2 linked regions of the Oryzias latipes genome follow. The protein of the gene in region 1 interacts with the protein of each later gene in a pairwise test. Links are inferred from orthologs where the notes say so. Each region holds a gene or a part of one and is shown in the gene's direction. Other genes may lie near its edges.

What was found. The genes of interacting proteins can lie anywhere in the genome.
Region 2: the proteins of ptpn9 (region 1) and reticulon-3 interact in binary tests that used the Homo sapiens proteins (3 or more experiments, as listed by UniProt). The two-hybrid records come from large-scale screens. The link is inferred for Oryzias latipes from reciprocal best matches to the Homo sapiens genes PTPN9 and RTN3.

Annotation. Positions count from the first base shown.
Region 1 is NC_019864.2:10,371,308-10,375,525, forward strand, and holds the start of ptpn9 (tyrosine-protein phosphatase non-receptor type 9), read left to right. Parts: upstream 1-1,418; 5' UTR 1,419-1,548; intron 1,549-1,621; exon of another isoform or gene 1,622-1,696; 5' UTR 1,697-1,904; coding exon 1,905-1,937; intron 1,938-2,269; exon of another isoform or gene 2,270-2,364; intron 2,365-4,218. UniProt on the Homo sapiens protein: Protein-tyrosine phosphatase that could participate in the transfer of hydrophobic ligands or in functions of the Golgi apparatus.
Region 2 is NC_019876.2:28,990,963-28,994,462, forward strand, and holds part of reticulon-3, read left to right. Parts: intron 1-2,324; coding exon 2,325-2,532; intron 2,533-3,369; coding exon 3,370-3,500. UniProt on the Homo sapiens protein: May be involved in membrane trafficking in the early secretory pathway. Inhibits BACE1 activity and amyloid precursor protein processing. May induce caspase-8 cascade and apoptosis.

The DNA of each region.
Region 1 (4,218 bases):
TGCTGGAGCCGGATGTAAACCATTGTCTACGGGTGACATCACAACCGCTCTGTCCAGTGAATTCCTTCACTACTCACTACATAGTGGACTATATGGCGTGTTTGGCAAACACCGTTTGCCGTTTTGTAGTGCCGTCCAAATCTACAATTCCTAAATCCAGTGCCCTAGAAATTTCCCAGAAGTCTCTTCAAAAAACCAGTGTGCGTCGATGCTTACTAGATTGGAAAATGTAGACCACAATGCATTGCGTTGGAACAATTTTTGCAAAAAAATTCATTTTAATTTCTTTTTTAAATGAACCATCAACATTTTTATCTTCAGATGACAGTGGACTCATAAATAATCGTCGCTAAACACTCATAAACGCTCACCTTTTTCATTAGGTTTAGCTCTCTGAATGCCTCAGCCCCCCCCCCCCCCCCTGCCTCCACCACACCTCCCCCCTGCTCCTGCTCCCTCTCTCATATCACCTCTCACCCTCATGAACCCCCCCACACCTCCTCACCTTTCACCCCCCTCTGCTACACCAAACCTATTGGGCCCACAGTTCATCACACCACCCCCCTCCCTCCCTGTTTCTCTGTAACAGCCTGCCAGGTGAAGAAGCAGCTGGAGAAACTTAACCAGCACAAAGCAGCCGGCCCGAATGGCATCAGCTCTCGAACACTGAGGACCTGTGCCCACCATCTGTCTGCGGTTCTCCAGCATCTCTTCAACCTGAGCCTCAGACTGGAGAGGGAGCCGCTCCTCTGGAACACCTCCTGCCTGGTCCCTGTACCCAAGAAGTCATCTCCATCTCACCCCAGTGATGTCCGTCCAGTTGCCCTCACGTCTCATGTGATGAAGGTGCTGGAGAGACTGGTTTTGGCTCAGGTGAGACCGTTGGTGAGCTCTTCTCTGGACCCTCCTGCAGTTTGCCTACCGACCCCGTCTGGGGGTGGATGATGCTGTCATCCATCTGCTGCAGCTCACTCACTCACAACTGGATGGTGGTGGAGGCATGGTGAGAATCACCTTCTTTGATTTCTCCAGTGCCTTTAACACCACCCAGCCTTCTTTACTGGGTGAGAAGCTGCTGCTGATGGGTGCCGGTGCGTCCACCGTCTCCTGGATCACTGACTACCTGACAGACAGGCCACAGTTTGTCCGACTGGGCGGCGTCCACAGGGACTCTCTGAAAGGTTTAGGAAAAGCATGATGGAGGCCCTTTACAGGTTGAGGGTAATCATGTTTAGTTTCTGTCTGTTAACAAACCTAAAATGAATGGTTTTTATACTTATTTCAAATGTGTTCAGATATTTGTTTGTGTTTGTAGCTGCCAGCCACCAACAGTTCTTTTTGTTCCGTCTTTTTCCATTTTTATGAATGGAGGCAGGGTCACTTGTAAAGTTCCGTTCGGAACCGCCAGGGGGTACAGCAACATGCGGAAAGAGAGGAGTAGAAAGCCTCTCGCGCAGCATAAAGGCGACGTTCAGAGGCGAAACCTTGCGATTCGTGGTATGGAGCAGCCAGCGGGTGGCTGCAGCCCTCTGATCTCTGTCAGGCTAGGTGGGTGAGACGTGTTTCATCGGTTCAAAGCCAGTTATTATCCCCCGAGTTGAAGCAAACCCCCAGCTTTCAGCCCTGTGTTCTTTGTTGTTTTTTTCCCTCCTCCTCTTCGGGTGAAATCTGACACATCAGCGGCTCTCATCTCTAGTTTGGATGCTGATTCATGCTAATTGGCCTGCGTGGATAGCAGCAACACATTTTCGGAGGGGGAAGAGGTTCCACTCAGATGTCGTCGGCTGTGAAGGAGCCCTAAGCCTCGACTGTGACACGAGGAGCACGCGCGCACAGACATCTCCCACTTTATGAGAAGGAGGACGAGGCTGTAGAAAAAGGTCATCGGAGAGCTGACGGGAATCATGGCAGCTACTTTATCGGCGGAGGAGGAACAGGTAGGCCTCCGCAATGTTTTCGTGGGAGATTAACCTGGAGGGATGTATTTTTTATTTTTTTTCTCCGTGCCGACTTTGCGTCCGAGCCGCGATATACGTGGTGCGCAATAGTGGTTTTGTTGCTGGGAGGGGAAAAAAAAGTCCCGAGAACGAAGCGGAAATATTGTATCGATTTTTGGTGCATTATCGCTTGAGTTGCATCACTGACGGTTCCTGTCCAGCGTCTGGAACGAGGTGTGGAGCCAGCGCCGCGGATGAGGACAGTTTCATCTGAGTTACAGAGCGTGACATGACCGGAAATCATTATAGAGGAAGGGTTACCGCGGACTCACATCTTCGCGATTGGGTCACTCAAATGTTTACACTTGAAACTTGAAGAAAGCCTGTAGAGTTATGGTGGTTAAAGCGCTGTGACGCATTAAATTCGGTAACTTTTTCACCCAAATCTATTCTATACTATGCTAAAAAGTATTATTTAATGTCATCAAACGGGTTACAGAGCAGTTATTTATGAACTAAAAGACCAGTTCTGTCAACTTTTCTCTGTTTGAGTCGATGAGAAAACCGTCGATTTTTGAAAAAATATTTAAAAATTGCACGTTTTCGTTTTAGTGAACATGAAAACGTTCTCAATAACTTATTAGAATAAGCAAAAGCCGAGAAACAATTAAATTTAACTGGTAATTTGGTCGTTGTTTTCATTCCAAATGAAAGGGAATTATGGGAAATTAATGAGTCGACACGTTTCAAACCAGTTTATGAGCTTTCCAAACCATTTTCTTGCCTGATACTGTTGGCTCTCTCATAGCTAATAATACATTTATTGAAATTGGACAGTGCAACTTCAAAACTATGCCCGATTATGGTTAGAAAAGTCAGAATTGGCCAAAAGCTAGTTTTTGTCTGTAATCCTCAGCGAGTTTATGCTTCCAGATAAATTTGACAGGTTCCTGGTGTAAAGATCCATATTTATTTTTTTAAAATTGTTGCATTATTGCTAGAATAGTTTAATTGATTAAAATGGCTCCTGTGAACGCCTGTCAGCAGCTGTGGGAAGAGTTCATAGAGTTGAAGGCCATTTGTTTTCTTCAGGTGTACTCTGACATGTCTGCAGTGTCTTCTCTGTGCCTACTCTTCCTGCTGACTCTTCATCATCTGGCCAGCAGAAAGTGCCTTATCTGCCTATTCCATTTCCTGTGTGAGCCGAGGGCCCCTGCTTCAGAACCGGACGCCCTTATTACATCCACAGCCTGGGGAGGGAGGGAAGCGGGGGTAGTGGTGGTGCTTGGTTGGATTGTGTGTGTAGCAGCCTGGCTCCCCTGTGACCGTACTGTTGTAGTGGAACTTCATTCTGAATGCAGCTGTTAAAAGTATTTCCACTAGACGTGGGGGAAGGGGAACCGAGTGTGTGTCTATCATGTGCTCAGAAAGTGTGTGTGTTGTGTCTACTCCTAGGAAGTGGTAGAGTTGGAGAAAGTGGGCAATAGGGAGACAGTGAACGCGTTTGACTTCCTGTTTGACTCGTGCCAAATGGGACTGGGTGCAGCCATTTGGCAGCAGCTGTCCCACATTTGTAAATGGATCAGCATGGCATCTGTAATCAAATTGATCCGCAGAGGCGCTGTTGAAGGGAGCTTCAGTGATAAAGAGCAAGAGTAGCTTAGTCTGCAGGATCAAGGTGTAGTCGGCTCTACCTCACCCAGGCCACTGGATGTAATTTGAGACCGACGTGGCGTGGAAGAGCTAGTGATTAAAACGCACACACATATGTTTCAACAGCTTTGAAAAGAACCCACATCATCAGGCGAAATGTATGCTTTTTATATGTTGTAACTAGTTGGGTGTGCATGCATGCTCAACTGCAGCTCGAATAGAAAGGGGTGGGTTGAGCAGAGCATTAAGGGCGTGGGTGGCTAAAGTGTAGGCGGTTTTCAGGGTGATATATTTCTTAGTTTAGGGCAAAAACTAAACATACAGATGACTCACAAACTGGAAAGAATAGATGGGGTTAATTATAAAAAGGTTAAATGCTTTGTGCACATCAATGACTTGTATTCATGCCTTTGTAACATACAAGCAACAGCGCAGAAGAGCTGAGGGTCAACTGTAGATGGAATCAAACGCATCTTGTTTTTATTGTCATATTGGGTAAAAAATAATATTTACATTTGTGGTGTAATAACTAATAATCTCAGCCTCATAGTTTGCATGCCATCTTTGTTATCGGTATTACTCGACCCCCAACTGTCTGTTCCTGGGTTTGAAGGAGATGCAAAAGTAT
Region 2 (3,500 bases), on another chromosome or scaffold:
ACTCACTGTAAACCCGCATTAAGATGGTTAAATGAAGAAGGTACTTTTTTTCTAACTATTGACTCTGATAGTCTAATAACGTCTAGATATCAGAAACTGCTTTCAAACATTAGATCACCAGCAAATGGCTGTTTGTGAAAGATTACTTTGGGTGGATGAAGTTACAACTGCTGTGAGCGGGCTCTCATAGCATAGCATAGCATATATGTAGCGCTAAATGTAAAGCAACAGTTGGATACAAAGATGTTAACTTCAAGCTGGATGTGCATCATAAACACATCTGTAGTTTCTAAACTAAATTCTGTTGGAGTAGCGCGAAGTGTACCACAGTAGGCTGGACTGTGGCTGTGGATTAGTCACAGACGAGTTTCATCTGGGGGGGGCACACTCCCATATAAACTCATCATAGCCCCTAAACTGGAGTAGAGTCCTGTCTAAATGTGGTGGCCTAGAGTCGGCTTAAGGAGCCCTGAAGCCCTGTGAGCCACAGCCCACCACCCCCCACCAGCCCCGTGTCAGGTTTCTGCCCCGATGCAGTTTTTCCCAGCTTACTGGGTGGGGGGAGTAGAGACATGCTGGGGGGGTGTATTCATTGGACGAACTTAATTTCAAAACCACTGGATTATTCATCTGCAAAACCTTTAAGGAATTAGCAATTCTCATAAAAATACACAAACTTCACATTTCAGTTGCAGGAAAACACACTAGAAACGATTTTATAAGGACATAGACTATTAAAGAAGGAAGACCTTTACTAAAGTGCAAAGAAATCTGCAAAATCTCTGGATTACGGAGCTCGTTTAAAAGTAATATGTTTGACTTTGATAAATGTCCAACATGAAGTAAAACGTCAGAAAGACTAGGGTCCACTTTAGCCTTCTTCCAACAAAAATAATGTATTAAAATGGAATTACATTCCATAAAGTATTTCCTCACAAGATGAAACCTAAATTTCTGACCTGTGGCGTTTTTACTGTTTTGAAACATGTCAGTCAATGGCGATGCGCTTCTTGTTAGGAAGTGGCGACCTTGAGCCCTGCATAGGGGGCGCCACCAGAGGTCATACAGCTCATCAGAAGTTGAGCGTGTCATGTGGAATTGTTGGATCCACAGCTCCTCTAGAAAATCACCAACCATTTCCCACGTGAAGGAACTCGCCGCTCCACGGCCTGAAGAAGACGCCAACGTCTCCTTTGATGGGTGATGATGAGCGCTAGTGCCGTGGCAAAAATCGGAATGTATCTGCTGTCGATCAAAGTATAGTTCACATCCGTCGCCGTGTTTCTAAATGACTTATGGCGTCAGTTGGTTTGTTTATTCACATAATTAGGATTTAACTTAAAATTGTAATTGAAAAATTGTTTCTTCAACATTTCTAGAATTTAAATAACTTTGCGCATTTGTGTGATGGAAACGCAGCTATTGTTGGGATGTTTTAGTGTTTTGTGAAAACAGCCGTCCCTCAGTAACCTTTAGGTGACCTTTATTGTTGACTGTCGAGCTCCTTTTGAACATTGACACAGTCGACATCAAATGTTTCCTGGTAGCTCTCGTCGAAAGACGACCCAGGACCTTTGAAGAGCTCTCTTTTTCTCAGAAATTGGAAAATGGAGGCGTCGCCTCATTGTGGTGGATGACTGCTAACGGTACCTTCCGCCCTTTCCTTCCACAGCTTTTTCCTCTCAGTGCAGTGCTGCTGTTGGTGTGAAGCTTTAGAAGCAGCACATGGTGAAACCAGGCCACTTTTTACTGGGACCTCAGCAGAAACCAGAGAGAGCAAGGCCCATTGATTATTGAATGGAAAACTACAATAAGCACAATGCTGTGCAATACCTAAAGTGGTAAAAATGGTGCTCTAAAATATTTGAAGTGCCCCTTCCTCTGCATATTTTTACAAACTGCTTGAAGCTTTTATACGTACATTTTCGGGGATTCTTGCCACTTCATGGTTTGAATGGTTTCCATTTCCAGCTATATTAGGAGTAGCAGTGTTTTCAAACATGATTGCTTTGTGTTGAGGTTTTTGAGTCGGGGCCTGAGCGACAAAGAAAATCCCATCTACTGCATCGTTTTTGTGAGCTTTTGTTGTCAGAATAGACTTTGGAAACTTTTTTTTTTGTAGTTTAGCTATATCTTTAAATTCATTTCTTTCATTTATGACAGTTAAAAGAAAAGCTGCAGTATATCAAAGTCGTGCTGTTTTTTGTTTTGTGATTTTACTTCTAGTCAAAACTCCTTTTAGTGTTTCTTTAGCGTTTGTACTGGATTTTAGGAGGTTCCGGAAAGCGGCATCAGTATAACCTTCTGCTTGTTCTTCTCTGCAGTAAAAGACCTGATCCACTGGCGAGACCCCAAGAAGTCGGGCGTGGTGTTCGGACTGTCCTTGCTGATGCTGCTGTCGTTGGCAGCGTTCAGTGTCATCAGCGTGGCGTCTTACCTGCTGCTCGCTCTGCTCATTGTCACCATCTCCTTCCGCATCTACAAGTCCGTTCTTCAGGCCGTGCAAAAGTCGAACGATGGACACCCCTTCAAGTAAGACCAAAGTCGTTAACCGTTTCAAGTCTGGGAAGAAGTGGGCGTGTCTGTTAGCCTGGGGGTGGTACTGGCTCTTCCTGGAAGGGGCGGTTCCTCACTTTGTGATGTCACAGTGTAGGGCCCCACTCGTTTTGGTGGATTGGGAGAGCAGGTTTTTAGAGGAATACTCAGAAAAACATGAATGGATCAAAAATACCACTTTGGGGTTGTTCTTTGAGAGGAATGAACATCATGATATACTTATAATGCACATTATGACACACACAGCTTAAAAAAAGTTGATCTTGCATGACATAGGCCCTTTAAACAGGAGTGGTAGCTTTCAAAAAAAGGTTTGTATGACAGATATGTGACGTTCTAACAGAACGACGATTTTTAGCATCTGGAATAATCATGTGTGTAGACTTTAAAGCAGAGAAATGTGTTGGAATACGGCGTATGCTGTGGGTTTTTATCAATGAAATGTGTTCATATTGATCAGAAGTAGATAAAGTTGTTCTCCCAAAGCATGACTCTGAACGTCTCCGTGTTTCTTTTCTCATGTCTGTTTTACTCTGGAGTGATGCTGCCGGTTCATGACACAATGATATCATTTAGAGTCAAAGAAGTCTGACTCACATTGTGGACACATTCAGGTCTTCTCTGATGGTCAAAGAATTGTATAAAAGATGCGTAATAAGGAGCAACCAGGTTTATCCCTCAGATCAATGGAAAAGACATTTTATTTGAGACAGAGAAAATGCTTTCTGGTTGTTCTTGACAGCTGTCGGACCTCCAGTCAACTCCAGGCTCCTCTTCCTCATTTTGTGTTCTCCCCTCATTCCATCTCTGCAGGATGCTGATAAATAAGGATGTCAGCATCCCCCCAGAGACATTCCGCAAGCACGTGGACGCCAGTTTGACCTACATCAACCGAGGCCTGAAGCAGATGAGCCGTCTCTTCCTGGTGGAGGATCTCGTCGACT